Elephas maximus indicus: one gene and its partner. The protein of the gene in region 1 binds, or shares a complex with, the protein of each later gene. Links are inferred from orthologs where the notes say so. Each region holds a gene or a part of one and is shown in the gene's direction. Other genes may lie near its edges. The genes, in order: MAPK10 and SH3BP5.

The links.
Region 2: the proteins of MAPK10 (region 1) and SH3BP5 are in contact, whole or in part, in a crystal structure (PDB 4H3B), measured with the Homo sapiens proteins. The link is inferred for Elephas maximus indicus from reciprocal best matches to the Homo sapiens genes MAPK10 and SH3BP5. Residues at the interface, in NP_620448.1 of Homo sapiens: Lys121, Asp150, Ala151, Gln155, Val156, Met159, Leu161, Glu164, Arg165, Tyr168, Tyr171, Val197, Lys198, Ser199, Asp200, Cys201, Trp362, Asp364, Glu367; in NP_004835.2 of Homo sapiens: Val341, Val342, Arg343, Pro344, Gly345, Ser346, Leu347, Asp348, Leu349, Pro350.

The regions. Positions count from the first base shown.
Region 1 is NC_064823.1:69,247,550-69,263,295, forward strand, and holds the start of MAPK10 (mitogen-activated protein kinase 10), read left to right. Parts: upstream 1-8,898; 5' UTR 8,899-9,253; intron 9,254-14,736; 5' UTR 14,737-14,851; intron 14,852-15,746. UniProt on the Homo sapiens protein: Serine/threonine-protein kinase involved in various processes such as neuronal proliferation, differentiation, migration and programmed cell death.
Region 2 is NC_064845.1:36,057,719-36,073,821, reverse strand, and holds the start of SH3BP5 (SH3 domain-binding protein 5), read left to right. Parts: upstream 1-8,662; 5' UTR 8,663-8,903; coding exon 8,904-9,044; intron 9,045-10,965; coding exon 10,966-11,028; intron 11,029-16,103. UniProt on the Homo sapiens protein: Functions as a guanine nucleotide exchange factor (GEF) with specificity for RAB11A and RAB25. Inhibits the auto- and transphosphorylation activity of BTK. Plays a negative regulatory role in BTK-related cytoplasmic signaling in B-cells.

The DNA.
Region 1 (15,746 bases):
GACTTGATGGCAGTGGGTTTACCCCAATTCCACTGACTATTCCTCTTTGTTTCCTTGCCATTTACTGTTTGGAAGGCCAATTCTTCAGCATCTCCATTTCCTTCAGAGACTGCAGTCCTGACATTGAATTATAGTCTCTATAGATAAACCTGTCAGTTTGTCATGGCTTGCATGTTGCTGTGATGCTGGAAGCTATGCCCTGTCATTTCAAACACTGGGAGGATCACCCATGTGGACAGGTTGCAGTGGAGCTTCCAGCCTAAGACACGCTAGGAAAAAGGACCTAGCCATCTACTTTTAAAAAACTGGCCAGTGAAAACCTCATGAACCACAGCAGAACATTGACTAGTATAGTGCTGGAAGATGCAACCCTAAGATTGGAAGGCACTCAAAATACGACTGGGGAAGAGTTGCCTCCTCAAACCTTAGTGACATGGATGCAGTAAAGCTTTGGGGACCTTCATTTGCTGATGTGGCACTACTCAAAATGAGAAGAAACAGCTGCAAACATCCACTAATAATTGGAACCTGGAATGTACGATGTATGAGTCTAGGAAATTTGGAAATTGTCAGAAATGAAATGGAATGCTTGAAGATTGATATCTTAGGCATTAGCGAGCTGAAATGCACTGGTATTGGCCATTTTGAATCCGACAATCACATGGTCTGCTATGCCGCAAATTACAACTTGAAGATGAATGACTTTGCATTCATCATCAAAAAGAACATTTCAAGATCTCTCCTGAAGTATAATGCTGTCAGTGATAGGGTAATATCCATATGCCTACAAGGAAGACCAGTTAATATGACTATTATTCAAATTTACACACCAACCACTACGGCCAAAGATGAAGAAATTGAAGATTTTTACCAACTTCTGCAGTCTGAAATTGATCGAACATGCAATCAAGATTCACTGATAATTACTGGTGATTGGAATGTGGAAGTTGGAAACATAGAAGAAGGATCCATAATCGGAAAATACGGCCTTGGTGACAGACAAAATGCTGGAGAGCACATGATAGAATTTTGCAAGGCCAACAATGTTTTCATTAAAAATGGTCGCTATGAGCCAGAACTGACTCAATGGCACCTAATAGTAACAACAATGGGCAGAAAATTGAATGACACAAGAAACATCAAAAGCAGATTAAAGGAATACACAGAGTCACTGTACCAAAAAGAATTAGTCAACGTTCAATAATTTCAGGGGGTAAAATATGATCAAAACCCATGGTATCGAAAGAAGAAGTTCAACTTGCCCATGGTATTGAAGGCACTGGGGGAAAACAAGGCTCCAGGAGTTGATGGAATACCAATTGAGATGTTTCAACAAAGGGATGCAATGTTGGAAGCAATCACTCATCCATGACAAGAAATTTGGAAAACAACTACCCGGCCAACCAATTGGAAAAGATCCATATTTGTTCTCATTCCAAAGATAGGTGATCCAACAGAATGTGGAAATTATTCAACAGTATCATTAATATCACGCACAAGTAAAATTTTGCTGAAGATAATTCAACAAGAGGCTGCCAGTAATTCAAGCCAGATTCAGACAAACATGTGGAAGGAGAAATATCATTGCTGATGTCAGATAGATCTTGGCTGAAAGGAGAAAATATCAGAAAGAGGTTTACCTGCATTTTATTGACTATATAAAGGTGTTCCACTGTGTGGATCATAGCAAATTAAAGATAACATTGTGAAGAATGGGAATTTCAGGACAGTTAATTGTGCTCATAAGGATCATAGACCAAGAGGGAGTCACCAGAATAGAACAAGGGGATACTGCATGGTTTAAAATCAGGAAAAGTGTGTGTCAGGGTTGTATCCTTTCACCATACTTATTCAATGTGTATGCTGAGCAACTAGTTCAAGAAGCTGGACTATATGAAGAAGAACATGGCATCAGGGTTGGAGGAAGACTCATTAACAACCTGAGATATGCAGACGGCACAACCTTGCTTGCTGAAAGTGAAGAAGAAACACTTACTGGTAAAGATCACAGACTACAGTCTTCAGTATGGATTACAACTTAACGTAAAGGAAATGAAAATCCTCACAAATGAATCAATAAGCAATATCAGGATAAATGGAGAGAAGATTCACATTATCAAGGATTTCATTTTACTTGAATGTACAATCAACACCTGTGGCAGCAGCAGTCAAAAAAATCAAAAGACATATTTCATTGGGCAAATCTGCTACAAAAGACCTCTTTAAAGTGTTAAAAAGCAAAGATGTCACTTTGAGGATTAAGGTGGGCCTGACCCAAGCCATGGTATTTTCCACTGAATCATATGCATGCTAACCTGGACAATGAATAAGGAAGACCAAAGAAGAATTGATTTTTTGAATTACGATGTTGGCAAAAAATGTTGAATATATAATGGACTGTCAGAAGAATGAACAAATCTGTCTTGGAAAAAGTACAGCCAGAATACTACTTAGAAGTGAGGCTGGCGAATAAACATCTCACATACTTTGGACATGTTTTTAGGAGGGTCTAGTCCCTGGAGAAGGACACAATGCCTGGTAACACAGAGGGTCAGAGAGAAAGAAGGCCCTCAGTAGATGGATTGACACAGTGGCTGCAACAATGGGCTCAAACATAGCAAAGATTTTGGGAATAGCACAGGACCAGGCAGTGTTTTGTTCTATTGTTCAAAGGGTCACTATGAGTTGGAACTGACTTGGTGACACTTAACAACAACAAACAACAACAACATAGGTAAAGCAGCGAGGGCAGTGGTGGTTCACTGACAGAACGCTTGCCCCCGGTGTGGGAGACCCACTTCGATTCCCTGCCAATGCACCTCATGGGCAGCCACGAACCATCTGTCATTGGGGGCTAGTGTGCTGCAGTGATACTGGACAGGCTGTAGTAGAGCTTCCAGACTAAGATGGACTAGGAAGAAAGACCTGATGATCTACTTCCAAAAACCAGCCAATGAAAATCCTGTGGATCACAATGGTCTGATCATGGGAACAGGTCAGGCCTTGGCCAGCATTTTGTTCCGTAGTGCCTGGGGTTGCAATGGCAGCTAACAACAACATAGCTGAACCCAGGAGTTTGTTATTACAGCACTTCTCTGGTGATAACTGTTTTTGAATGTCTGAATTTACATCTCTTGTTTGTTATGTAAACCTCCATCAATTGTCTGCCTCATTTCAGAGAGTTTGTTGGGTCTTTTAAGATTCTGGCAACCCTGAGTCTGGTCTTCTGTACTGCTGGATCTGCTTAGCTCTGTCAAATCAAGGTTCGTTGTATGGACCAGATTTGCAGGTTTACGAAGTCTAATTTATTGGCTCACTCAGCAGTTTTCTTCTTGGTAATTGATTAAAAACTTTTTTTTTTTTTTTAGTTAACAGAGATTTGTTTAACATACAGTAAAATGCACTGATATTACGAGTTACACTTTGAGGATAACTCAGACCTCTATTAAGAGGTGGAACATTTTTATCACTCCAGAAGGTCTTCTCTTGCCCCAAGCCAGCCTCAACCATTCATCCCCACACTAGGCAACTATAGTTCTGAATTACATCACCACATATATTAATTTTGTCTGCTCTAGAAATTCATATAAACAGATTCATATATATATGGACTTATGTATATATGGATTCATATATATATATACAGATTCATATTTTATTTATTTATTTTTTTACTCATACACACATACATATATATACACACACATACATATATTCTTTTTTTATCTGGTTTTTTACTCAGCATAATGTTTTTGAGATTCATCTATACTGTTGCATGTTTCAGCAGTTCATTCTTTTTTATTATTGAATAGTATTCCATTGGAGGAATATACTACAATTTGTAATTTGTTTATCCATTCTCTTTTAGATAGACAAGTTGCTTCCAGTGTTTGCCTAGGATAAATAAAACCATTATAAACTTTTTATGTACACTTTTTTGTGGGGATGTGTTTCTATTCTCTTGGGTGAATACCTATGAGTAGAATTGTTGAGTCATAAAACCCTAGTGATGTGGTGGTTAAGTGCTACAGCTCCTAACCAATGGGTCGGCAGTTCAGATCCACCAGGCGCTCCTTGGAAACTCTATGGAGCAGTTCTACTCTGTCCTATAGGTAGCTATGAGTCTGAATCGACTTGACGGCACTGGGTTTTTTTTTTTTTTTTTAGTATTGTAGTTGTATGTTTATCATTTATAAAAACTGCAAAACCATTCCCCAAAGTACTGTTTTCATTTTTCACTTCCACCACTAATGCAGGAGAGTTCTGGTTGCTGAATATCCTTGCCATTAGTTGGTGTTCTCAGTCCTTTGTTTTAGCCATTTTGGTGGGTATTAAGTGATATTTCATTGTGGTTATAATTTGCATTCTTCTGACGACTAATGATGTTGAATACTTTTTCATATGCTTATTGATCAGTTATACATCTCTCTATTAAGTCTTTCACCTATTTTAAAAATGCTGTTTTTTATTATTATCGAGTTACAGGAGATTGGTATATACTCTAGACTGAAGTCTTTTCTCAGATATGTGTATCAAGAGTACTTTCTTCTAGTCTCTGGCTTGCCAATTCATTTTCTTAATGGTGTCTTTGGATAAGTGGAAGTTTTTAATTTTGATGAAGCTTTTTTTTTTTTTTTTCCTGTTATGGTGAGTACTGTTTGTATCTTAATAAAACTGCCTTCTCTAAGGTCAGAAAGATGTTATTTCTCCTAATTTATTTTATATATTTCTTCTAATTTTATTCTAATAGCTTTATAGATTTTACCTTTTATGTTTAGTTGTACAATTCATCTTGAATTAATTTTTGTGTTTACAATGTGCGGTAAGAGTTAAAGTTCATTTTTTCATCACTGGTATCTAGGTATTGGGAATTGACTTTTGATATCCACACTTAGAATAAAATAACTTAAAGACCAGAATGCCAACTACACTGTGTTATAAAGTTGTTTGGCAAATCATGCATATTCCTGCATGAGACATAGTTGTCTCTGTATGTAGTCCCACTATCAAGACTAAGATTAATCAACTAATTCTTATAGAATTTGAAACGAGAACAACGAGACATCCAAAAAACTTGTCCAATGAACTAGACTTAGAGAAAACTCACCCAGGTCTTTCTTTTACTTGATTTCTTCCTGAAAACAAACAAACAAAAAATAGCAACAACAGCAATAACAAAGCCTTACATGGTCCCATGCAGTTTTACGATGTGTTTCAGTGTCGTAATGGCTGCTTAGTTTACACGTGTTGTGTTGCATCTTTTCTGTGTGAAAGAAGTTCCTTCATTTGGAAGAAGCTACTTATTCTCACAAGCATGGTAGTTCCAAACCTAATATAGAATGGTATATTAATCAGGAATACTTGATTGCAATAGGCAGAAACCCCCCTCAAAGATGTTTAAGCAAAAAATGAATTGGATTAGATTATGTAACCTGAGAAATGCAAGGGTTGGGACTGGCTTTAGGCAAGGTGAGAATCAGAAATTCAAAAAACGGTGTCAATATTCTGTCCCTTTTTTTCTTGACTCATTATTTTTGTTTGGATTTATTTCATCCTTGGGTGGGTTCTCTCAGTATGGTGGCAAAGATAGTCTCCAAAAGCTTTAAAATTGTTCTATCTTACAGTTAGCAATGTTGTAAACAGAACATCTCTTTCTCCCAGTGCCCATATTGCAGTCCTTCCCCACCACCCCCTACAAAGATTCTGATTGACTCTACTTGGTTATGTGTTGTTAGATGCTGTCAAGTCAATTCTAATTCCATGTGGTAGATAAGAACCACCTATAGGGTTTTCTTGGTTGTAGTCTTTCTGCAAGCAGATCACCAGGTGTTTCTCCCACAGAGCTGTGGGGTGGGTTTGAATCACCAACCTTAGTTAGAAACCAAGCCCTTAACTGTTGGGCCACTAGGGAGGGCTCTTTGCTTGGTTAGGTAGCTATTTCTTTTTTGCTATTTATTTATTTACTTTTAAATAATATTTTGTTGTGTTTTTGGTGAAGGTTTGAAGAGCAGTTTAGGTTCCCACTTAACAATTTCTACGCAAATTTTTCAGTGACATTGGGTACATTCTTCACAATGTGTGAATATTTTCATTATTTCAAGTCTGGTTGTTTAGTCTAGTTTCCCCACCCCCTCATGTTTATTTAGCTAACCCTTAAACAGAGGGATGGGCTATCCTTAACGATAGGCAGTTCCACCAGTGGGACCAGGGTAGTTCTGTAAAGGAAAATATTCTGTTACAGAAAAGGAGAAAGTAGAATGCCAACTGTGAATAGTTAAAATCATGATGACATTAGTTACAAAGAGAGATAGGCGCCAACCTTGCTTACAGATTTTGGAGTGGGTTTTACTATTTAGGGCTTTAATTCTCATTTCAGTAATATTTAGATGATTAAAATAGTATTTTAGGTCTATTCTACATGCTGTAGGAAAATTAATTTCTTAAAATTTGGTCATGTAACACACGCCATTTATTTATTTATTTAAATTACCTAAACTGTTGTAATTCACTATTGGATAAAACCAAACTCCTTATTTAAGACCCTTGGTAAGATGACCCTAATCATCTTCTCTATAGCCATTTTCAGTCCAACTGAATATGTCTGAGAGATCAAAAGAAAAATATGTATTTTTTAAATTAGAAATAAAAGAAAAAGAACAGTTACTGAGTAGGATTACTGTGTTTGCCAAGCACTGTGCTCATGCACAGGTAGTTGCACTCACTGTACAAACTCCCACAAGAGTATCTGCTTCCTTTCATTTGGCATTTACCATACTGTATTTAGGAGCCCTGGTGGCACAGTGGTTAAGAACTTGGCTGCTAACCAAAAGGTCAGCAGTTCGAATCCACCAGCCGCTCCTTCGAAACCCCGTGGGACAGTTCTACTGTGTCCAATAGGGTCACTATCACCTGGAAGGCAATGGGCTTATGCTGTATTTATGTTATTATGACCTTATGAATATGAATATATACTATTTCATATCAGTCTGTTCCTTAGCCTTTTTATTTCTCATTGTCTTCCTTGACAGTTCCCTCTTCCAGGAGCATAGTGTATAGTCTTTCACATGGTAACCCCATTGCCAATTCTGACTCATACTGACCCTGTGGATGGAGTAGAGCTGACCCATAGGATTTCCAAAGAGTGGCTGGTGGATTCGAACTACCAAACTTTTGGTTACCAGCCAAGCTCTTAATCACTGTGCTACCAGGGCTCCTTATAGTTGGTAGGTGACCAGTAAATATTTATGGTTAATTGTAATTACCGAGGTTATACAACTCTTTTTTACTAGCTATCAACAAAGCTTTTTAATTTCTGAAATATTATGACATGTTAAACTTTGAGATAGCCAATATTAAAGCAGGTAACTTCTCTTATGATATTACATACCTGAACTTTGTGTTGGGGTGTAAAACACCTTAACTGCCTCAAACTTTTTTCGAAGTGTTTTCCAATAAAACTTATTTAGTCTAGAAGCCTGGCCAGAGTTCTATAAATATTATCAATGATAAGTCTTTGAAAGAAGAGTTTTAAATGAATAAATAAAAGTAACCTCTTACTTTCAAAAGTATGGGGCTGTATTTAGTATCCCCTTGCACTGTTTTTTTTTTTTTTTTTTTGCACTGGTTTATAGATTTAATGAGATGCGTGTACTCTGTTCCCAGCTCTGAAGTTGTTCAGGAATATTTCTTGTTCTCCAAGCAAGAAGCTTTCCTTTCCTTTGTAAATGCAACCTTTGGGACATTACATTATCCATTTCATGGTTTTAACTCTTCTAAGAGTTATAGTCAGGGTGGATTTGGTTTTATAAATATTTTTTGCCAAATGACTCAATAGAAAAATTAAAATTATTTGATACTTTTAATTCACTTTCAAAAATGTGTAATTTTGATAATTCACAATCATTAAGGACAACAGAATATAGTGACAAAAATATGCATTGAAAATTTTCATTGTGTAAAAAATATTTTTAAAAAAGTCAGAAAAATTTGATAAACTCATTTTTTGTTTAAATAGGGAAAGTAGTCACCGCTTTTATTCCAAGAAGCTATTATTTGTGGATATTAAAACTGCATGGGTATTTTAAAGAAATCCTCTAACAACCAAAAAACAGGGCAAATTCATTAAATAAAATTGAGATATTACCCTCAAATAGTAATAATGGAACTTGCATCAGTTTTCCAGAGAATTATCCGCAATTAAAAAATTAAAAAGAACCCCAATTTGTTAACTAAAATTATCAATATTTTCTTTTTACGTCCAAATTGCAATCTGAGAATTAGTTTGTTGAGCTTTGATTTAGCGGGTATTCAGGAATTTTATGTAAAACAAGGAAACAGAGAAGAGGAATAGAGCTGTGCAAATGACCTCCGGGGTGCAGGAAGGACTCAAACGCTCACTTCTCCTTTGAGGTTATTACAGTCTTTTGCTTGTCTTGACATTTAGACATAGCCTATGTCTCTCCGTGCGGTTTGTAAATAGCTGAGATAGTTGAAAAACAGGTTGAACGCATTTCCAGGGGTGTTTTGGTTTGCCTGTATTTATTCCTCAGTACCGCTGTGCAAACGGCCAGAACGACACAGAGGGGATTATTTTCCCGGGTTGTGCAAACTGGATCCGTGATATCGTAGTTGCCTTGCTGACATTGGCTGCCCACGAGCTCTATTCCTTCACATTTTGCCTGCTCCTCGTTTCACCAGAAAACACAGTATCTGTAGCCACACGGAGACTTTTTCCTCTTTCCATTTTCCCCTTCTTCCCCTCCCTAGACCTCGCTGGGCTTTGACGTCATGTGTGCTCCTTTTAGTTGCCATAGCAACCCCATTCCCCAAGCCCTCTGTCGGTCTCCTCTGGTAGGTTTCACAATGGTACAGGCAGCATCACGCTGCACAATGGTTTCCAGGCAGTGAAAGAGGGTGATTCAGCAAGGCACTCTTCTTCTTTAAAGCCTCCCTTTCTCTTTTTGTTTTTATGGGGGTGGATGGTGCTTGTTATATGCTTACCTTTTTCTTTTCTTTTTACGTTTTTACAGTTTTCCTTTTTCTTCCTCACCCCTCAATTTCTAGGGGCTTTGAGTGACTTTAAGATTGAATTTTCTTGTAAATTACCTATCCATCATTAATTTTAAGCAATCTCCCCACCTCCAAAGACTCTCTTCCTAATTGCAGTTTGGAATGTGGTTAATGAAAGTCAAGTAGGGAGGATTTTGGGGGCAAACACTGCCGGATCAGGATCGTAGTTCTCAGGCACGGAATGGTAGGTGGCTCTTTGCTCATTCCGGGTTCTAAACTGTTTCTGGAGGGTGGGGTGATGGCTATTGATGGCTCCTGGTGGAGCAGGAGAGCGAGTGGTGGGAGGGGGGAGATGGGGTGGAAAGCAGGTTAATGAAGTGAACTACCGCCGAGGCAAGAAGCCACCAGCCTTTGCCACAGTGCGGAGCATCTTTCTCCAGGCTTGGGCGTGTTGCAACCTCTCTGTTTGGAGTGAGGGGTGGCAGAGGGTGGGAGGGAGCATTCTTATTGTGACCAGCGGTTTTAGACCAATGCAGAGCTACAGAAGGAGAGACAGAGAGAGAGCGAATGCATCTGTGCTTGTTAGAAGTGCTGACCTCAGTCCCGTTTCTGAGAAATGATATGGGTTCCATAGGAAATTAAAATTAATGCCCTTAAGTATGCATTTATTTTATTTCCTGAGATGTGTAACTTAAATAAATAAACTTAAATAAAAAAAATTATGGGACATATTTACACATTTTAGTAGGGAATGATATTTATATATTTTTAGCTGCAAAACTAACGGCATTACTCTTGCAAAGAGACTCTAGGCTAAATTTGGGCTGGGGAGAGAACACAGAAGAGGGATCAGATTAGAGTTAAGAAGAAAAATTGTCACCGCAGTCACATAGGTAAAGGGTCCCTTTAAGAAAGTGATCCGCTAGTCACAGCAGGCACCATTTTTTTTTTTTTTTAATTTAATGGCAAGGTTCCCAGGTATTCTATGCTGGGATACTGTGTCCCTTAGAAATGTCAGAGCTCCTTTTGCAAAGTAAAAAAAAAAAAAAAAGATATACTGTTAAAAATGAGCAGGGCAATATATCAGAATCTGTGCACACAGCAAGAAAAGTGTGACTTACAGGGGAATCTTCAAGTAAATCAGATATTTAAAACATGTATGTACATATATATTTCTTTCTTTCTTTTCATTCCTACAGTTAAATCAAGGGTCAGTCACTGCTTTCACCCCCTTAAAGGAAAAAACTTCCCAGGGCACTGAAATTTAGCCACAGGAAAGAATGGCTTATCCCACGCAATCTTCTCTGAAGCAGTCACAAGGTTGTTTACATGGACCGTCTTTGCTGCAGAGCCTCGCAGTGTCTTACAGCAGACCTGCCCGCATCTGCGTGCTGACTATAACTTTCATGAACGCACTGGGAAGAGGCAGGCTAAGTCATATGGGGCAGGAAAATGAGTGTAAATACAGATAGAAGGAAAATGGGTATAAATGTATCACACATTGCTAGTTCAAGGTCCAATTTCTGCCTCCATCCCTAATCTGCTGGTTGCTGGATCCAGGAAAGTCTCCTAGAATGCTGATAACACATTTAAAATGGTTGCAGGAATGACTATTCTCCTGAGAGAAGCTTCTGCAAATTTTCTGCCTTAGGTGGGTGAGCTTATATGTCAATATCGTGATGCTCACAAAGGAGCTCACAAGCTTCCAATTCGCTTTGGAACCATTGGATTTTAGGGGCTGTACAGTTCAGGGCTATAGCAGGTTTGCTGCTTCTGTTATGTATTCCCCTCTCTACCTTGATCTTACTCCTAAAATTGACAGCAAGTATGGGATTAGTTTATTGTATCACATGGAGCAAGCTGGTTTTTCTTTTCCCTACCATAGGGCTAGAAAATCAGTTGACAAAGGTAGTATCACCTTAGATATTAAAGAATCTGTATGCTTCCTTATTTGCATATCACTCCCTTCTGTTGTAGCAAAGTACCTTTAATGTGACGGGCTCCTGAGCTTACAAAAATCTCCGCAGTTTCTGTAAAAAGATTCCTGGTGATGAGGCAGTAAGAAATTACATGTAGAGTGGAAAAATCAGCTGCCTCCAGCTTCCTGCTTGCTCGCCCCACAACGGCATCTGCTGTTGGGAGGAGTGTGTTTGCCATGCTGGAAAGGGATGTTTATGAATAGATCCCAGAGGGACCGAGTGTGTTTTCGCTGTCATTGTCTGGTACGTCTGTAGCTATTAGTGTTTAATGATTTCGTAGTACATGGCCGATGTTTTTCAAGGTTAGAATGAACTGAGAGTTGATCAAGGATACTATAATATGTATATATGTTTTATATTGACAGAAAAATTCATAGAATTTCCCTTGTCAGTATATCCTATAAGAACATTATAAGCAAAAGCAATCTGCTTAACCTAAATAAATTGAAAAAGACTACCATGTTTAAAGGCATATATATATATATTTCTTTTTTTTTAAGTTTTACTTTGGCTTCATGTGTTTCTTTGAATATTAAGCTTAGTTACAAAGCCTTTTTCTACTGATGATAAAAGATAAAGACAAATAGGTTTTTTGTTTGTTGTTTAAACGTGCTTGCAGATGCTTCCCTTCCTGCTTTAGTCCTGGCTTTAGGTTCTGTTTGTATCTAAAGGACTTTTAGCAGAATTGGTGTATTCAAATCGAATGATTGCTTGGGTGCTTATCAGAATAATGGACTCAAACCAAGAGATACTTCCTTCAATTAGAAGAAGAAGTAAACAAATTGACATTTAAAATTCTCCCTCAGTTTCCCCTACTATTTTCTCTTGTCTTCTCTTTTAAGCTTTTGGTTGGACGTTGCAGCCCTTAGGCAAAAGACAGGCACAAAAGTGTCCAGCAATGACAGGAATGGAGTAAGATGCTGTGCTTGCTGCAGGCTTACTGAAGGCCTCCCCTCTCTTTCCACCACACATGCATCTATTACACCTGGTACCAAGGACTCGTGGAAAAAGTTGAGCCTGTAGACTATTGGGAGAGAAAGTGTTATTTGTAAAGGAGAACATAATCCTTTAGCATATTAGATGTATTTATTGTATTACATAAGTCTGAGATGAGACACTATAGTGCTGATTCAGATAAAAGATCATGTTGCATATTGATTGTTTGAAAGAGAAAATGCAATTTAAAATTGGAGCCCATGTTTTCAGAAATTCACCTATCTGTACATATTTTCATAGCAAAGTTGTAAGGTTTTGGACTCAGATTTTTCAGTTCAAGTAAATTTAATCTTTCAAACAAATCAAGGCAAAGAAGGGGAAAATGAAAAATCTGTATGTTTGGGGTACTTTTTGTTTTCTGTATTTAGTGGTGGGAAGCTTCCGTTCTTATTGTGAATATTGGTAGGGACTCTGCTAAGTGGAAACCCCAGGTGATATTAACGATCCCTAAATAGAAGCATTTTAGGTTTGAAAAGTAGGCTTGAAAATTATACTTATTTTTGGTAAAGAATTTTGTAGTTTAATTGATGTTTTGGATTCGTAACAAGTCACTACAATACTTCTCCCTGTTCTTATCCCTGGTGACTGTGAGATGTAAAAATCATGCGATTATAGAGATAGTGTTCCTGGGAATGGGAATTAAAGGTTTGAATGGAAAAAGAGTGACTTCCGGCTTCTCGGAAGCATCCCTAACCACAGCTGCTCTAAAGCCCGGTGTGCTGTGTCCGATTAAGACAGAACTCCTCTACGGAGCACTTAGGCATTTGCAGAGTGGGCTACTTCGTAATAAACGATATTTTTGCCACATTTTTGTGGCGAGAAGCAGAAAACAACAGCAATGTCTTAAAAGTATTAGAAGGTCATCTTAGTGACTTGTCTTTATAGAAGTAAAACTGCTTCCTGGTTTGTAGATGTTAACCTGCCTGGGTGTTCTCTGTACCTCCTGAAAATGGGAGCCTTGGTAGCATAGTGGATCAGAGCTATGGCTGCTAACCAAAAGGTCAGCAGTTCAAATCAACCAACTGCTCCTTGGAAACCCTATGGGGCAGTTCTACTCTGTCCTATAGGGTCCCTATGAGTCGGAATCCACTTGATGGCAATGGGTTTTTTTTTTTTTTTTTTTTAAAGTAATAGCCCCCTTCTTTTACATTGAAAATAGGATATCAAAGTATTGATAGTGAGGTCAGGCTCTTACGTCTGTTTACGTGGTAATGTTTAATCAGTGTCTGTACTTTCTCCACCACAGCACTTAGCACACATCACAGTAATTGCCTATTCAGTTATCTGTCTTTTGCTGGAGTCACTTGGTGATACAAATAGTTAATGGGGTTCGAGCCCACCCAGAGATGCCTCAAAAGAAAGGCCTGGCATTCTACTTCTGAAAATTCAGCCATTGAAAACCCTGTGAAGCACAGTCCTGCTCTGACACGTGGGTCTCAGACTTAACTGGATGGCAACTGGACTAGTATCCTCCACTAAGCTGGAATCTCTGTTGGGGACTGACTGTGTCTGTCTGGCACACAGTGAACCAAAACCAAACCAGTTGCCACGGAGTCGGTTGTGACTCATGGTGACCCCATGTGTTTCAGAGTAGAACTACCTTCCGTAGGGTTTTTGTGGCTATGACTTTTTAGAAGCAGATCTTCTAGTTTTTCTTCTGTGGTGGGTTCAAACCGCCAATCTTTCTGTTAGAAGCTGGTACCCATTTGCACTACCAGGGACTCCATCCGTCACATATTAGGGACACAGTAAGTATTAGTTGAATGAATGTCTCCTCTGTACATTGTTCTTTGTTAAGTGCTGCGGGAAAGCAGTTGGGAAAGTGTAACCCAGAGGTGCTACAATGGGGAACTTACAGTCATTTGGAGAGATAAGATATAACACAAAAACTGAAATAACAATAAAGATGGCATATGATTAAGGAATCATATTAGTGGTTTGGCAGTAAGTGCAATAGAAAGTCAGAGAAGAAAATTCACCTCCATGGAAATGATAGAGGCGACATTGGGATGACTGGGGCTGGAGGGTGGTGGCGAAGGTATGCCTAGCAGCAGTTTTAAGTACCTGCCCGGGAACTAGACTCATATTTGCAGTAGACTGGAGGTTTAACATGGGTATGGTGACTGTACTTTCCAAGCCAGAAATTAGAATTTATGGTTTTACAATAGAATTGGAACGTTGGAAACTGGCATAGCCCCGGAGAATCAGGCCAATGTGATGCGGGGAAGTAACAGGTGATAAAGGTTGAAAAGCAGGTTTGGAACTAGGTTCTACTAAGGAAGACAATAAATACAGGTCCCTTTCTAGCCTCAGTTCAACTTCAGTATTGTTTTACTTTATTTCACAGACTTCAGAGGTTTTCAAACTTCTGTTCTTCCTTTTATCGTCATTGTTCTAATGAAATTTTATATGAAAAGGAAAATATGTAAACATATGTACATAAACATATGTGATAGTGGTGCTGCCCCGGTTGAAGTAGGGTGGGGTGCTTTATATCATAAAACCAAATATATCAAGCAAAATAACAATTACTAATGGGTTTATGCTCAGATTTTAAAATAGCTGCTTTGGCGTTAGCAGGAAAGTTCTTGTGCATGTGATGAATTTCGAGCAGAATTAACTACTTTGAGGATGTTTTACCCCGTCCCCCCTTTGTCATCAGTTTTCTTTGATTTATGTCTTTTTGTTTTCTAAATGCTGGTGAAATTCTCATTTAAAACCAAACTCACTTGTCTTTTGACTTTGGTTTTAGGCTAGTGTGAGAAACATCAACAGCAGGACCATCTCCAGTCTTCGTTATGGCAACTCATGCAAGAAACTGTTGAATTAGAACCATTTCCTGTAGATGAGAAACCATACAAGCAGTGGTGAGTTGCAAATTTAAAAATGTTCCTTAGTGAGAAATATATGATCTATGTATCTGATTTTAATATTGCATTGGGTTTAGGGTATGGACCTGAAGAAATAGTATTTCAAAAAAGTCAGCTAAGAACGTGAAAATCAGTAGGACAGGATGTTTAATTGATGGTGCACTGTGGGGTCTTGAGATGCGCAGATGGGTTGTATGATGCCATAGGTGATCCCAGCCTGTGTAAGACGTAAGATGACTAAGTAATAATTTCATGTGACTAAGTAACAGTATTTTTAAGTGGCTTTTATTATGTGTAACATAATTCTGTGTTCTATTGATTTAGTCCTCTAGTAGGAAAATCGGCTCAGGGTAAAATTATGATGCTTAATTCCTTTCAGAATAGTGTACGTGTGTTATGTGTATTAGTTAACAGTTAAATCTTCAGAAATAAGGGAAAAGAAATCACATCACAGTTTTATAAAGGTCAACTTATAGACATTTTAGTCTACCAATTCTTTTGCTTAATCAAAACAATATTAAAAATAGATCCAGTTGCTTTCCTTTGTTGGGAAAATTTTGAAAACGTCTTATTATTTTATGAAAACATCAGTACACACAGACAAAATATCTTTTTTAATCAAATTCTTGATGCTTCATAGAGATCGAAGTCAATAATCAATAGACTCCAGCAGAGACGAATGTGTTATAATCTGTTAAATAACATCTTTGAGAAATAAGGTATGACAGGAGTGCTTGTAAGACTCCAAATGAAGCTGTTTTGAACTGGTGATCAATATATCTCTTTCATTTCATTTCATATAGTGGTTTATATAACTCTGCGTAGGTGGGTTGCCCTGTGAGCAGGGCATCGAATTGTTAGGTCCAGTCAGAACCCCCGGTGAGAACCTGCA
Region 2 (16,103 bases), on another chromosome or scaffold:
ACCAGCTTCTGCTCACCATCTTACCACAGGGGTGTCTTGGATGTGAGGAGAAGCCCGCCATCCTGAGATCAGCCCTCAGGAGAGGTCTCTCAGCAGGGTTCTAAGGTTAATTTGATAGCACATGCCCGTTCTAAAGTGGTCGGCCTCTTCTCACATCTCCTCTAGACTCTTGCCAGGCAAAGAAATCTGATTTTTATGTGATACCTGCCGAGTTGTAACTGCTGATTCAAGTTTACAAAGTGCCATGCCAGCCAGACAAAACATGCCTACAAGACCGATCTAACTAGGAGCTGTCAGTTTGCTGTCTGTGGTCTAAGATGCCGTGGGAAGATCACAGATGAGGCAACGAGAAGATGCTGATGTCACCTGGTCACGGATACAAGAACATGGTGTGAGTGCTGATTCATTCTTCGTTCAGAAGAGCAGCTTCTGTTATACAGGAATTGACAAGCAGATGTGAAATTTTCTTTCTTCTATTTTTTAAATCTTGATGTTGTAGGGACTCTTCATTTAAAGGGCATCGAAATTTGACAGAAAAAGCATTAACTTCACAATGTTGAACCGAGATGTGATATGTCCACACAATGGAGTACAACTCAGCCGTAAAGAAATACGAAGCTCTGGTACATTCTCCAACATGGATGGACCTTGAAAACATTACGCTGAGTGAAATAAGCCAGACCCTAAAGGACAAATAGTGTATGATCCCACTTACAGGAAATATTTAGAATAGGCAAATGCAAAGAGACCAAGTTTATTGGTGGTTACCAGAAGCTTCAGGGAGTAGGAAATGGGGATGTCAACTCGACGGTAATGGGTTTTTGTTTTTTTAAAAAAATCTTTACAGGAAGGAACTCTGGTGGCACATTGCTTAAGGGGTACTGATTTTCTGTTAAAGGTGACGAAAAAATCTGAAACCAGCTAGTGATGATGGTTGTACAACGTGGTGAATGGGATTAATGTCACTGAATGATACATGTAAAAATGGTTGAAATGGCAAATGTTTTGCTATATATATCCTACCACAATAAAAACACAAAACAAACAAGCCAGTAAACGAAATCACTCTGGCCCTTCCAGACAGAAAGGTGTGTCTGATTTCTGTGTTCACACAGGGGTAATTCTGCAGCGTCAAGTGATCATTTTGAGTCACCAGGACAGAAAATGCTACTCTCTTCATCCATGGGAATGGTCAGCACTATTGTCGTGGACAGAATTGTGTCCCCCCAAAATATGTGTCAACTTGGCTAGACTATGATTCCCAGCGTTGGTTATCCTCCATTTTGTGATCTGATGTAATTGTCTATGTGCTGTAAATCCTAATCTCTGCCTGTGGTTAATGAGGCAGTGTTAGGTCATGTTAAAGAGGATTAGGGTGGGACACAACGCCCTTACCAGGTAGTAGCCCTGATCTGATGTAAGAGGAGATTTCCTGGGGTGTGGCCTCTATTGCCTTTTATCTTACAAGAGATAAAAGGAGAAAGAAGAAAGTAGAAGGGACCTCCTAACACCAAGAAAGAAGAGCCAGGAGTGGGGCACATCCTTTGGACCTGGGGTCCCTGTGATGAGAAACTCCTAGACCCAGGGTTAGATTGATGATGAGGACCTTCCCCCAGAGCAGACAGAGAGAGAAAGGCTCCCCCTGAAGCTGGTGCCCTGAACTCAGACTTCTAGCCTTCAAAACTGTGAAAGAATACATTTGTTTGTTAAAGCCATCCACTGCGGTATTTCTGTTATAGCAGCACTAGATGACTAAGGCAACTATCCTTCCTGCCCAAAACTCACTGGAAGTGCTTTGAAGTCAGCAAATCTTTTTATTTTCTCTCATTTTTCCACTCCTGGGTTTTCAAGAATTTGGAGGAAATAACAAGTTGCTAGCTTCACAAAAAAGCCCAAAGAACATTTTGGACATAGTTGGAGATCTCTCTGCTCACCAGAATATAAAAAAGTAACACCCTTTGAACATAGCAGGGCTTTCTGAGTGCTTATTAAATAAATTAAAGTTTCTCTCCACACCTACAGGAATAGAAATACCCCAGTGTTTCACTTCTCCAAGGGGTACACTAAATAAGGGGAGGGTCTCTCTTTGTTGGAGACCTGCTCGTTTTGTGATTCAGGGAGGTTGAGGCCCAGATTGTAAATGTATGATATCAGTGAGAAAGTGGGGTTACAGGAGAGGTTGATTTTAATCCCATGAAAGAAAACCAGATCGTGACAAATAAGAACCCACTGTAGAGAAACAGATGAGCATAGACTCATCCTGCCAGACCCCTTTTTCTTCCTTCCACCCAAATCCCAGCCCACTGTTTCCAATGGCAACTGGGAGCAGTGCAGAGGCTATGACTCTCACCAAGGAACCATTACAACCTGACGTGGTGGGGCCGTAAACAAACACACACAATGTATTTTCCCCCAGTGTCTGGACTTGAACAAACTCCAAGGAGGCAATAAAAAGAAATCCATCAGGTAGCGCGGTCTCCAACAAAGCAGTTCTCAAGATTTTTGTGAAGATGGCAGGCATCCTATCTTCTTCCACAGCGTGCACCATGTGATCAGCCTCTGTCAAGAAAATGGTGCTTCAAGTCAATTCTGGCCCGTTACTGCGGAGCCGATTCCCGCTCACGGCGACACCATGTGTTACAGAGAAGAACTGCTCCACAGAGTTTTCTTTGTGTAATCTTTACGGAAGCAGATCGCCCAGCCTTTCTTCTTTAGAGCCGCTGGGTGGGTTCGAACAGCCAACCTTCAGGTTAGTAGCCAAGAGCAAACCATTTGTGCTACCCAGGGATGCGTTAAGCCACACCAGCAACCCATCATATAACCATGTCCTGAATCATTTACCATTGTTAAATTATATTTAAAGTCTTTTAAAATGGACGTAAATGTACTGTGCCTGAAATACTCCACCAAAGGTCAACAGGGGTCTTGAGAGGGGGATATGGATCTTTTTCATGAAGAGGGAAGTGGAACATTTAAATTCAAATATATTTAAATAAAAATTTTTTAAATCCGCACCAGAGTGTACAGTTCCTCTAAGTCTGTGGTTCTCAAACTTTTTGATGCCAAAAAACCAAACCCACGGCCATCCAGTTGATTCTGACTCATAGCAAGCCTATAGGACGAAGTGGAACTGCCCCATAGAGTTTCCAAGGAGTGCCTGGGTGAATTCAAACTGCCAACCTTTTGGTTAGCAGCAGTAGCTTTTAACCACTCTGCCACCAGGGTTTCCTTTTTGATGCCAGGACCCTTTTATACTCCTAAAAAGGACTGAGGATCTCACAGACCTTTTGTTTATGTGGTTATGTTTATAAGCAGTTACTGTACTGGAAAATTAAAACTGAGAATTAAAAAAATTTATTTACTAATTGGTATAAAGTGACAATAATAAGGAGCCCCGGTGGTGCAGTGGTTGAGCGCTTGGCTGTTAACCAAAAAGTCCCTTGAATCTACCAGCCACTCCCTGGGAGAAAGATGTAGCAGTCTTCTTCCGTAAAGATTTACCGCCTTGGAAACCCTATGGGGCAGTTCTACTCTGTCCTGTAGGGTCACTATGAGTGGAAATTGTGTCAACGGCAATGGGTTAACATAAATATTATAATTTTATGAAAAAATAACTGTAGTTTCCAAAACAATAAAAACAGTGACAAGAAGGGCATTGTTTTACATTTGCAGATCTCTTTAATGTCTGGCTTAATTAACAGAAGACAGCTGGATTCTCCTACCTATCTGCTCCTGCATGTAGCTTCTGGAAAACTTGTGAAAGAATGAAAAAGAAAAAGGCAAATATTGTCTTGGTATTATTCACTTAAAAAAAAAAAATTTTTTTTTTTTTTATGAAAGTAGCTTTGACTTGACAGATACCCTGAAAGGTCTCGGAGAACTTCAGGGGTCTCCAGTCCAAACTTTCAGAAGTACTGCTCTAGATCAATATGCCAGCTAAAATAAATATAAGCATTTACTTAATAACATGGCTTGCCTTCTTAGTATGTGTGGAGGTAGAATTAGAAGATGGCCCCAGAGTTTCCTGTCCCCTGGTTTACATACCACTGTATAATTTAGGGCATTTGTAAATACGATGCGATAGTCACTACCATGATTAGGTTATGTATATGGCATAATTAACTTTAGGAATGGGAGACTATCCTGGTGGGCCTGACCTAATCAGGTGGCCTCTTAAAATGGGACTGGGCTCTTCCTGAAATAAAAAAATAAAGAAGAGATCAAATCACAAGAGGGATTTGACACAAGCCAGGTCTTCAGTTGTTGTTTTCAAGATGGAGGGGGGCATGTGGCAAGGAATACAGAGATTGACCCCTGACAGTCAGCTAGGAAATGGGGACTTTAGTTCTATAACCGGAAACCTGGTGGTGTAGTGGTTAAGAGTTATGTCTGTTAACCAAAAGGTCGGCAGTTCAAATCCACCAGGAGCACCTTGGAAACTCTAAGGGGTGGTTCTACTCTGTCCTATAGGGTTGCTATGAGTCAGAATCAACTTGACGGCAATGGGTTTGGTTTTTTTTGGTAATCCTACAACCACAAGGAACTGCATTTGGCCAATAACCTGGATGAGCTTGAAATGGATTCTTCCCCTAGGGTATCCAGAAAAGAACACAATCTAGCTGACATCCTGATTCAATTTGTGACACCCTGAGCAGAGAACCTGGCCATACCAGGCTTGAACTTCTGACTCAGAACTCTGAGATAATAAATGAAAACCATTGCCACCGAGTCAATTATGAGTCATAGAGACCCTATAGGACAGAGTAGAACTGCCCCATAAGGTTTCCAAGGTTGTAATCTTTATGGAAGCAGACTGCCACATCTTTCTCCCACAGAGCAGCTGGTGGATTTGAACCGCTGACCGTTTAGTTAGCAGCTGAGGGCTTTAAGCACTGCACCACCAGAGCTCCTCTTGAGCCTCTAAGTTTGTGGTGATTTGTTACTCAGCAATAGAAAACAGTATGTATTATCTAAAGTTTATTTTTAAATTCATAAATAATTACAAGCACATTCTTGTAATAAATGAAAACCTTGCTTGGAAACAAAATTTGTTCTGACCTTTCAGTCCCAGCCAATCCTGGGCCGCTCCCTATGCCCGTTTCCAGGGGGAACCACGCTTGGTTTCGTATAGATCCTTCCAGACCCTTTTCTATGCATTTATGTGCATATATATGTACCACTAGAAAATACGTAGTACTGCTCATAATTTATTTGTTTTCCTTATTTCGACCTTAGAAACCCTATTAGGATTAACACGATAAACTTGCCCAGGTATCCTAAAAACAAGACAACAGAAGTCTAAACTGATGTTCCAGAGCAGTTTCCCTATGTCCCATAGAGGCATTTTGAACCATTCCATTATTCGTGGATCAGTGCTCAAACAGAAATGTATGTTGTGGGCTGTAGTTTAAAACGGTCATGATGGGATTCCTCCAGCTGGGAAGCATTTAGAGTCAGGGTTGACCCTGTATTCCTCCTTTTTACAGCTGGGATGAACCTGCTCCCTTATTGGCTCAGTTCAAAGTCGCCAGAAATATTGGGGGCCCTTGTGTCCCCAGAATAAGCTATTCCTAGTCTTCATCCAGTCATAGTGGCCATTTTCTCCTTGGCACCATTCACTGTTGCCAGGTGTTCCTGGTTCCGTGCTCTGCTTTGAGTCTTTGCTCTTTCAGGACTGCTCTTCTAGCTTCTGAACAGTGAGTAATGTTTTTGCAATAAGGAATAATGCATTTCAGGGGTACTTATCAAGAGGCTCGAACTCCTATAATTTCTTACCAGCATTCAATCCTAGGGACCTATCGTTGCTTCCAAGTGTAGCAGGTGAAGAGGTATACAGTACTCCAGGGCAGCTGTTTCTGCTTCTTAGCTGTTAGTACTGCTTTTGTTATGGTGAAGAATACATGGTAGTGATGATGTTCCTGAGGTTCATATTCCTTTAGTTTTATTTATTTGGGCTGTAAGTACTGCTTTTGCAGTAAGGAAGAATGCATCGTACCATGTTTTGACAAGTTTCATGAAAAATAATAGAAAGGCTAAGAAGAAGGAGACTAGAATAAAATGTATGTGTAGTCATTGCCAGGTGCCTTCATGTTTTTATTTCTTGAAAATTTGCAAATTTTCAAGAAATAAAAAAAAAAAGAAAAGAAAAAATTATTTTCATCACTTACTCATATCGGTAGGATTTTCTACATCCGGCATCCACTGGGACATATGGGATCCTAGACGATGGGTATCAAAATCCATAAATCATAACAAAAATTCTAAGTTGGTCCTTAAATCAGCATGCCTTCCATTAGTGAGAACACAGGGTATCAACAAAAAATTCAAAGAAGAAAATCATTGGGTCACTAAGTTAAAGAGCAATGAACAGATAAAGGTGTGTGTGTGGTGGTGAGGGGACATGAAGCTGTTACCGGAATAAGGTTCTTGCCTCTCAGTGGTCAAGAATGAGCACGTAAGGCACGTAGTTTTCCACACGAGGAAAGCTTTATTGAAGAGGCTTGCAAGCGGAGATCAGGAGGGCCTAGAGCAATGCTTACCCTCATCTCACAGAACAAAAGACAGGCCCTGAGTTTTTAAAAGTTCTTGGGCAGGAAAAGATTCATGTTTATTCATAGGCACAGGCTGGGATATGTTATCTAAGGTGTGCGCAGCAGCTTTCCAAGATGGCTCCTGTCCTGGAGGCCTCTGGGATTCATAGCAGGACTTATTATGGGGTGTCACACCTGCGTAGTCCCCCGCTGTCCGGGTTCGAGTCCCCAGCTGGGGCTGTAGCCCCTCCCTGCCTCTGGTGGAAGGCCACAAAGCGGCCACAAGTGGATGTTCTTCGCATGTCCCTGGGCCTGGTTTTCTCCAGCTGCTTCTGAAAGGCAACTTTAAAGAAGTTTGCAGGCTATTTTTAGATGCCCTGCCCCATTGTTCTGTGAAATGGCTTTGTTTCTGTGCCCTGGCCCATTTCTTGTTACTTTGTTTGCAGATTTGGGGGCCCCTCTGTTCCTTGTCTTACTGAGTCTCTAGGTTCCACACTCAACCCCCTATTACCTCCCTTATAGTCTATTTCTCTTTTACTTGTTTCTCCTCTAACCACACCAGCCTCTTTGCTATTTTTCAAACAGGTACCCTTTGATCTCAGGACCTTTGCTCCCTGTCTTAGAGCCTCCACGTGAAAATCCAATTACCTACGAAAACATTCTCCACAGAATAGCAAGGCCTTTAATGGGTTCCAACCCTATAAAGCTCCTACTACAGTGATCTTTTCAGAACAAAAAAAACCAAAACACAAAATGCCCCTCAGAAACCTGCAATGTACACCTGCACTACCTCCCTAGGAAATAGGACAACTTCCTTTGACAATGGACCATAATGCTGGCATGTAGGGTGGTGCTTTGCTCAAGGAGTAACCCCACAATTTAGCTTCTGATAAAACCGTCAGAAGTGGGTTTTCCAAGGTGGCTTTAATAATGCCGTTGTTAGCTGCTGTCAAGTTGTCCCCCAACTCTTGGTGACGCCATGTGTGTCAGGGTAGAACTATGCTCCACAGGGTTTTTCATGACTGATTTTTCAGAAGCAGATCACCAGGCCATTCTTCCTACTCCAGAAGCTCTGCCAAAACCGGTTCAGATTAATAGTAACAAGGAAGCCTCCACTGACAGGAGAGAGGTGGCTGAGCGTGAGGTCCATTGGCCAGAAATGGAACCTGGGTCTCCTGCATGAAAGGCAAGAAGTCTACCACTGAACCACACATGCCCTCAAGACTTTAATGATAGGCTCTCAGAAAGCTCTGTTCTCAAGCAGGTTTGTTCTCACAGAGCCAAGGGCCCACAAGCCTTGGTGATGAAAGTGTATACTTCCTGATCAGTGGTGTTATCCCTGGAGTGCTTTGCTAAGGTTACCTGACCCTGTAGTCCTCCAACCTCACAGTGGCCCTGACACTTCATCATGGTGTAGACATGTCCTTTTGTTAGGCCTTTGGTGATGCCGAGTTTCCCAGGCAAGTGTTGGCTCCCTACCTGTGGGTTGGGCAGGAAACCTCGCCAGTTCATAACCCCTTGGCTAGAGTATGCCCATCAACAGGTCTTACAGTTGCTGCTTCCTTGAAAAGGCCGTACCAACCTACCTGAATCCACACTCAGTGAATTCTCGCTGCTTCACGGCTATTCAGGTAGGACCATCCCGTGGGCATGTGTTTGGGCATGGAGTTCTGGCCAGGAGAGGCCACAGCCTGTGGAAAAGGAATCCATACGTGCAGCTCTGCGCGTCTAGGGTGGATGTTTCAGTTCCCATTTCTGGGGAAATCTCCAAGTAGATACAACTCACAAGGTTTAGCCGAGGGGACAGGGGCTTCAGAGAGCCTTGAAATTAATGTAGGGTCACTGAGTACGGGACTGTAAAGGTAACTTCAGAGAGTGGAAAAGTCCCCAACTTTCCTCCCATCCTAAATCTGCCTTGTCGAGGAGGGAGAAAGCTACCCAGAAAACAGGTGGCTAGCGTTAGGTAGTTCGCAATGTATTCGTGCTGCTCAGTTAAAAGGGAGCGGGGGCTGTCCCATTTCACCTCCCTTGAGGTCTTCAGGAAGCTGGGGTTTTTGTGACGGACACCTGGGTAATTGCGACTGGCCCATGAATGGTGTCAGCGCCGCGCCGAGGGGCGGCCGGGCGAGGGCGGAGCGGGCGCCGCTGTCCTAGCGGCCGCGGCAGAAAGGGGGCGCCCGGGCGCATTTCCTCCGCTCGCTCCGCCTGGGCCGGACCGACCCGCATCCGCGAGCGGCGTTCCTGGGTGTCGACCGCGGCGGCTGCCGGGACCGTGCCGGGCTTGGGCGAGCCTGCGGCGGCCGCGACCCCTCGGACGCTCCGGATCCTAAGGCGCGGCTCGCGTTCTGGCTGCGGGGCCCGCACCCTGCCTGCATGGACGCGGCGCTGAAGCGGAGTCGCTCCGAGGAGCCCGCCGAGCTCCCGCCGCCTGCCCGGGACGTGGAGGAGGAGGAGGAGGGAGAAGGCATGGAGAAGGGGCTGGAGGAGGAGGAGGAGGTGGATCCTCGGATCCAGGTAGGGCGCGCGGGGGCCCCTCGGGCCGGGTTCCGCGAGGGCTGCGGTGGAGGTCGGCGTCTACACCTACATCCCGCTCCGCAACGTCTAGCGCTGCGGTCCGGGGCGAGACGAGAGGGTCTGAATACTCGGTTTCACCGTTCCCCACTGAGGGGGCTGCAGTGCTCTTTGGATGCGGCCTGACTATATTGCGGGGACCCCTGCAGGCCCCTGGCGAGATTTGGGGGTCCCCGCAGCGTACCAGTGGTTCGGCGGATGCACAACAAAGGGAAAAAGGGGGCGGGGGCGCCATGCCGGTATCGGGGTGCTCTCAGCCAGGCTAGTGGCGCCGCAGGCATTGCACAGCCTCCCGGCTCCGGGAGGAGGGTTTGCCCGGCCCGCGAGCCTGGCGGGTGGGCGTTGCCGCCCCTGCAGCGTGGACTGGCACCGGTGTCCTGGGTCCGGCACCCCCACCTGGCCAGGGTGCCCAGCCTGAGCTGCCTTCCTCCTCCTTTGATTTATTGTAGGGAAACTGGGAGGGTTTATTGTCGCCATTGGCTCAAACCTCCGCTTGGCTTGAAATGGGTTAAAGCCCTGCTTTTTTCCTTGTTGTGGGGTCGGGTGTGAACAGAAACCAGGCACAACTGATGAGCCGAACCGACGCGTGGAGGAGGCGAGGGGGCTGGCCTGGCCTTCTGTGCTTCCATTTCCTAGACCAAAAACCAAATCCATTGCCGTCGAGTGAATTCGGACTGATAGCGATCCCATAGGACAGGGTAGAACTGCCCCATAGGGTTTCCAAGGCTGTAATCTTTAGGGGAGCCGACTGTCAACATCTTTCTCCTGCAGAGAGCCTGGTGGGTTCGAACGGCCAACCTTTCAGTTAGCAGCAGCTCAGCGAACACTGCGGCACCAAGGCTTTTTCCTAGAGGGATGATTAAAAAACAATTTTCAAGCCGAAATCTGTGTGTGACAGCTTAACCTCTTCACCCCTAAGCAAAAACACAGCAAATCTCTTTTCCAAGACCCATTTTTTTTTTTTTTTTTACCCTTTCCATAAATCATTTTTTTTATATTGCTTGTAAGCAATGCCATGCAATCTCTGGAGCCCTACCTAACTGGTTTTTCAGTGCGTAGATCAATTAAAACCTCGTTAAACTAAGTGGCTAGGGTTTAAATGAATTGTTTTTGGCAGATTAGCAAGGTAAAGATCAGGGGGAAAAAATCTTTCTATTAGGAATGATCCTATTAATTAAAATCACTGGTTTGCGTTCTTGCTAGGCGATTCTGTTAGCAATAGCCTTTGTTTGCAGAGTAAAGAGGAGTTAACTTCAGACTGGGTACTTTTTACAGATGTTGGTTGTAAATGTTTATTTGAAGGACTGGGATTAAAGCTAGTATAGAAAGAAAAAAGGCTAGGCAGGTTAAATAATTGGCAGTTTTGGAAAAAAAAAAATTTTCCTTGTAGAAAAACACTCAGCCGCTGATGAGTTAATGACAGAAGTCTTTCCTTGAGTTAAATCATTTCACTGGGCTTATATTTTTAGCATGTGCTGATTTCTTTTTTTAATTTTTTCTACAACGTTCTCCTTCTCTAAGGCAGAGGTTACTGTTTGAATTTGGTAGCTGAACCCTTTGTAATAAGGTGGGTTTACCTGGAGGCACTTACCTGGAATAAATATTTGACTATCGGAAAAGACAAATAATTCCTAGACCCTTAAGTCATTTTTAAAAGAGATACCGTCAAGATAAAGTTTTCAGAAATACAGACATTTCATTTGCTCCTCCAGCTCAAACTCATCTGTTTTCCTTGAAAATTAAAACCACCTTTTCCGTCTTCCTATGAATTGGGCTGGGGTAGTTTTTCAGGTTATGAGCTGAATTTTATTGGAAACAGAAGCCTGACCCCTCAAATCTTTTTTCTCTCTCTTTTCTTCACTAGGGAGAACTGGAGAAGTTAAATCAATCCACGGATGAGATCAACAGACGGGAGACTGAACTTGAGGTACAGAAAGCTTGAAGGGGTGGCTGTCACACTTATTCCTGGCCAGTTGGTTTTGTTTTAATATATAGCCAGCGGTTATTGTGAAGGCCCACCCCTGGGAGTTGAGCAATGGGAGTTGAGCAACAGCCTTGCTGTCTGTCAGGATGAAATACACCACTGAGCCCAACCAGTGGGCCAAACGCATGTGGATCCAATTTCGTGTGTTGTTTTTCATTATGGAAGCTCCATGGGGCCAAACCAAGGGCTGTGTGGCATATTACACATGCTTAAAACCCAGACTTAATGTGTCTGTGGAAAAGCTGAAAGGACTGAGGGGAATATTAGTTGAAGTCTTTTTAATGAATGAGCTCATGAAATCTCTTAAATATTTTAGGGTGGTTCCTTCCATTTGTACTTGGAACTGTTTGGTGTTTCCTCAGACTTACACCCTTTTTTTTTACTTTGCTGTACTAATAATTCACTCCCCATTCCTTTCCACTTCCCCGCGTGTTTCTTTTTTGTCTACTTGTGTGTAGAATATAATTATCTTAATGGTAAGGAAAAGCTGTTTAGACTGAGAAAGGCCTTCCTGCTGGGAAGAGTCTTGGGAGGCAAGCTTGATTTGCATTTCGGGAGCATTTTCCAACCTGAGTGTAAATAGATTAGCATTCTTCACAGCTACCAATTAGTCCTCACCCCTATTTACTAGTGGTTGGTTTTACCATCCATCAGCAAATTTGAACAACCTCTGTATACAGTGACACCTGTGAGAGCTGGAACTCGAACGGAATGCATTGTTTTTCCGGGTCTCACAAGTTTTCCACCTTTGACAGGGTACAAGCCTACTGCTCTTCTATCACTCTCTATTAATGGAAAATATTTGAGTTTTTCTTGTCTGACAGGTTTCCACGTTACATGGGTTCTGGCTTTCATAGGTTTTACTGTATATCTGAAAGCCCGTGTCTGTTAGAGCTATAGGCATGCAGGGAGCCGTTGGGAGGACCTGTTTCTGTAGCAGGAGAAACAGCAAGAAAGGTCAACAGGAAGGACAGAAAATGTGGCCTTGTCACCAGTCCCTGGGTGCAGGAGATAGGAATATAATCTACCAAGAATACACTGGCAGCCATGATTTCTAACTGCATGTCCAGGCCCTGGAAATACCAAATATGAATGAAATCTGGCCTGAAAAGCTTGGTGTTCTGAGCTCTGTGAAGGGTTATCCATGAAACTGGCTGCGATTCTCCCCAAAATGAAGTAAAATCATTGTGTTTGTTTACATTTTTTTTTCAGTTACGGTGAATTGAGTCTCTTTGTGATTTTGGACCATGGAAACCTCTCTGAATCTCAGATGTCTAATACACCCACTCCTCACTTATCGACATGGTTAGGTTCCAAAGATCAGGTCGTTATGTGAAAATCAACGATATGCAAAAATGGAGGATGACCACATCAGATCACAAAATGGAGGATGACTACATCATTACCTAACTGCCAAATCACATCATTACATAACTGCTAAACCACAGAGAATCATGGCCCAGCCAAGCTGACACATAACCTTAACCATCACAGCCAGCATTATTCTCCGCTGGCACCTTGGTGTTCATTACGGCCAGGTGTATGTCACTGATGTGCAAAATAGTCTGATAGATTTTTTTTTACTGTTGTCATAAATGCAAAATGTTGGATAATGAGATAGTTGATAAGTGAGGAGTAGGTGTGTATTAAACAAGCAGCAACAACAAAACCTGTGCCAACTCTATAGGGCTTTAGAGTTTACCAAGTGTTTTTTACAAGCTTTATCTTACTCCACCCTGTTCCAGCAACCTAGAGCTAGGCTGCCCAAGATGGTAGCCACTTTCTACATGTGGCTATTTGAATTTAAATTAATTAAAAGATTAAAAATTCAGTTCCTCAGTCACTATCGCCACATAACAAGAGCTCAATAGCTACTGTATTGGGCAGAGCAGAGAACACTTCCATCATTAGAGAAAGTTCTACTAAATGGCACTAACCTGGACAGGTAGGGAAGGCAGAGCCTACCTCTTCTCTAGGTGAGATCGTGAGGCTCAGTGTCTCACAGTTCAGCAGTGTGGCCAAGCCAGGTCTCCCAGCCTAGACCCATGCATTTTCCAGATGCCCTCCAGCTTTTATATTCGACCACGCCAAAGAAATAGAAAAATCAAAAAAAGCAAATCAGTTGCTGTCAGGCCAGTTCTGACTCGTGGCGACCGCCATGTGTGTCAGAGGACAACTGTGCTCCATAGGGTTTTCAGTGGCTGATTTTTCAGAAATTGATTGCCAGGTCTTTCTTCCAAGGTGCCTATGGGTTGACTCAAATTTGCAGCCTTTTGGTTAGCAGCCAAATGCATAGCCATTTGTGTCACCCAGGGATTCTCCAAATGAATAGACAAGTTGGAAATTTTTTTTTTTCCTTTGCAAAAGATCGATTTATTCATTCAGCAATTATGTGCTGGGCACTGTTCTGGGTTATGCATAAGACAGCCTACATTCTGAGGGTACAGTTGGTTCTACCGGATAAATTCTTTTTAGCCCTGATTTCCGAATTCCATTTCCAAATACTCTTAAATATTTGTGTGTCACAGGAAGCAAGCAGGGCAGGTGTTTCCTGCTGTGCCCTGAAGAGTATTTGGTAGCCCTGTGAAGCGAGGTGGTGAGGGCTGGGCCATGTTGCTGGCTGGCTTTTCATGATGTTATCATAACTAAGACTGACTAACAACAGCACTGCCCGGTAAAACTCAAGCTACATAAATAATTAAAAATTTCCTAGTAGCCATATTAAAAAGCAAAAAGAAACAGGTGAAATTAATTTTAATATATTTTACTTAGCCAAGAGTATCCAAGAGAGCATAATTTTAAACATGAAATCAATATAAAAATTTGTTAATAAGCTATTTTAGTTTTTTGTGTTTTGGGTACTAAGTCTTCAGAATCTGGTATGTATTTTATACTTAGAGCTCATCTCAGTTTGGACCGATGAGGCAGGGGACACAGGTCTCTGGACACCTGCCACATGGCCGGAGCCTGGAAGAGAGGATGCGGGGTATGTGTGTGAGTGTGTCTCTGTGTGTGTGTGTGGTCAGGGGTCTGTCCTTTAGTCAAGCACTGGCACCACCTTTGTGCTGGGCGGTCTGTTGGCCATTGGGGATTTGTCAGGGAACAAGACAAGCAAAAGCCTTGCCCTCGAGTTTACATATCAATTGGCGTCTTAGTTAACCTGGTACTGCTATAACACAAATACCACAAGTGGGCGGCTTTAAAGAACAGAAATTTATTTGATCCCAGTTCAGGAGACTGGAAGGCCGAATTCAGGGTGTGGCTCTAGGGGGAGGCCCTTCCCTGTGTATTTCAGCTTTTAGTAGCTGCCAGCAATCTTTGTCATTCCTGAGCTTGTAAATACTTCTTCTCCCTGTGTGTGTCTCTGTGTCTGTTGTTAGGTGCTGTCCAGTCGATTCTGACTCATGGCTACCCCATGTGACAGGGTAGAACTGCCCCATAGAGTTTTCTAGGCTGTAATCTTTATGGGAGCAGATTATCAAGTCTGCGTAGATTTAAACTGCCAACCTTTCGGTTACCAGCTGAGTGCTTAACTGTTGTGCCACCAGGGCTCCTTCTCTGTGCCTAGTCTGCTCTTTAACTCAGAAGTGATTTGATTTAGGACCCACCTTACTACATGTGGCCTCATTAACATAACAAAAGAAAGCCCCTGTTTCCAAAGAGGGTCATATTTATAGGCATCCCAAAACAAAACCCATTGCCCTCTGGTTGATTCCCACTCATAGCGACCCTATAGGACAGAGTAGAACTGCCCCATAAAGTTTCCAAGGAGTGGCTGGTGGATTCGAACTGCCCACCTTTGGTTAGCATCTGAGCTTTTAACCACCACGCCACCAGTGCTCCAGGGATAGGGCTTAGGGTTTTCAACATAAATTTTGGGGGCCGATGCTGTCCATTACAGCTGGGGATGAGGAGTGGAGAGGCAGAAAATAATTACTAATTGTGATGACTGCAATAAGAGTGATGTGACAGAGACTGGGAGGGGAGTCACTTCAGGTGACACTCGGGAGAGACCTGAAGATGGGGGGGTCCACGTGCAAAGAGGGCACACAGAGTGAGCAGCTTGGGGTGGTCAAGGAGAGGGGTTGAAGGATGTGGGGCTGGAAAACAGGCCATTTTAATATAAAGGTTTCCCCTACTTTTCGAAAGCAAAGTGTTCCTGTGAAACCTTTCACACGCCGAAATGGTATAAAGTGAAGCACCAATTACTATTAATTTACATGGGAAACATTTTTGAGTGTTCTCAGACCCAAAAAATAACATACCAAGTAACACATAAAACCCTCATGAGCTCTCTTAGGCTTTCTTACCTTAGGGACACATCTTGCTAATGGGTGCACAGAATAAATCAAGATAAAGCGCAGGTGCTCACACACAGTTCAAAACTACCGCAACTGTGTGACTTGATGCTGAGATGCCTCGTGTATGCAGTTCCCTGGGAGAAGCTTGGTGACCCCACTCTCACTGCTTAGGGTGCGCACTGCCTCTTTAACAGCTAGCTGCAAAACCAACGCTGATCGCTACTTCTGCTTTTTGCCTTTTTTTTTTGTAAAAGCCAAAATCCTCTTCCAATTTCGTTCGGTTATTGAAAACAGGTACTAATGTGGGGTTTTTTTTTTTTAAAGTGAACATGTATACTTTCAGAGCCTCTGGGGAGAGGGCCTTGCTGTCCATCCATTTCTTTCCCTTTGCTTTTGGGTTCTGATATGGAATGTTCAGCACCCTCTCCTGACTTTGTCCGATTCTGATTAAACTGAATTGGTGAGCAGGTTTGTGGCTCATCCACTCCTCGAATGTGGTGTCACTGTCTCTGGGCAACCACAGACAGGGTGTTCCTCCTGGTACTCACGTTCACCGTCCAGTCCTCGTCTCAGCTGTTTAGATCTGAGATGACCGAAAGACTGCTGCGTGCCGGCCACCTGCCATGTTGTCACTTGCACATCTGCCTCTTTCTGCTTGCGTCTGGCCTTGTTTGCACAGTGCCGGGGCCCCTTTAGGAGCCCTGGTGGTGCAGTGGT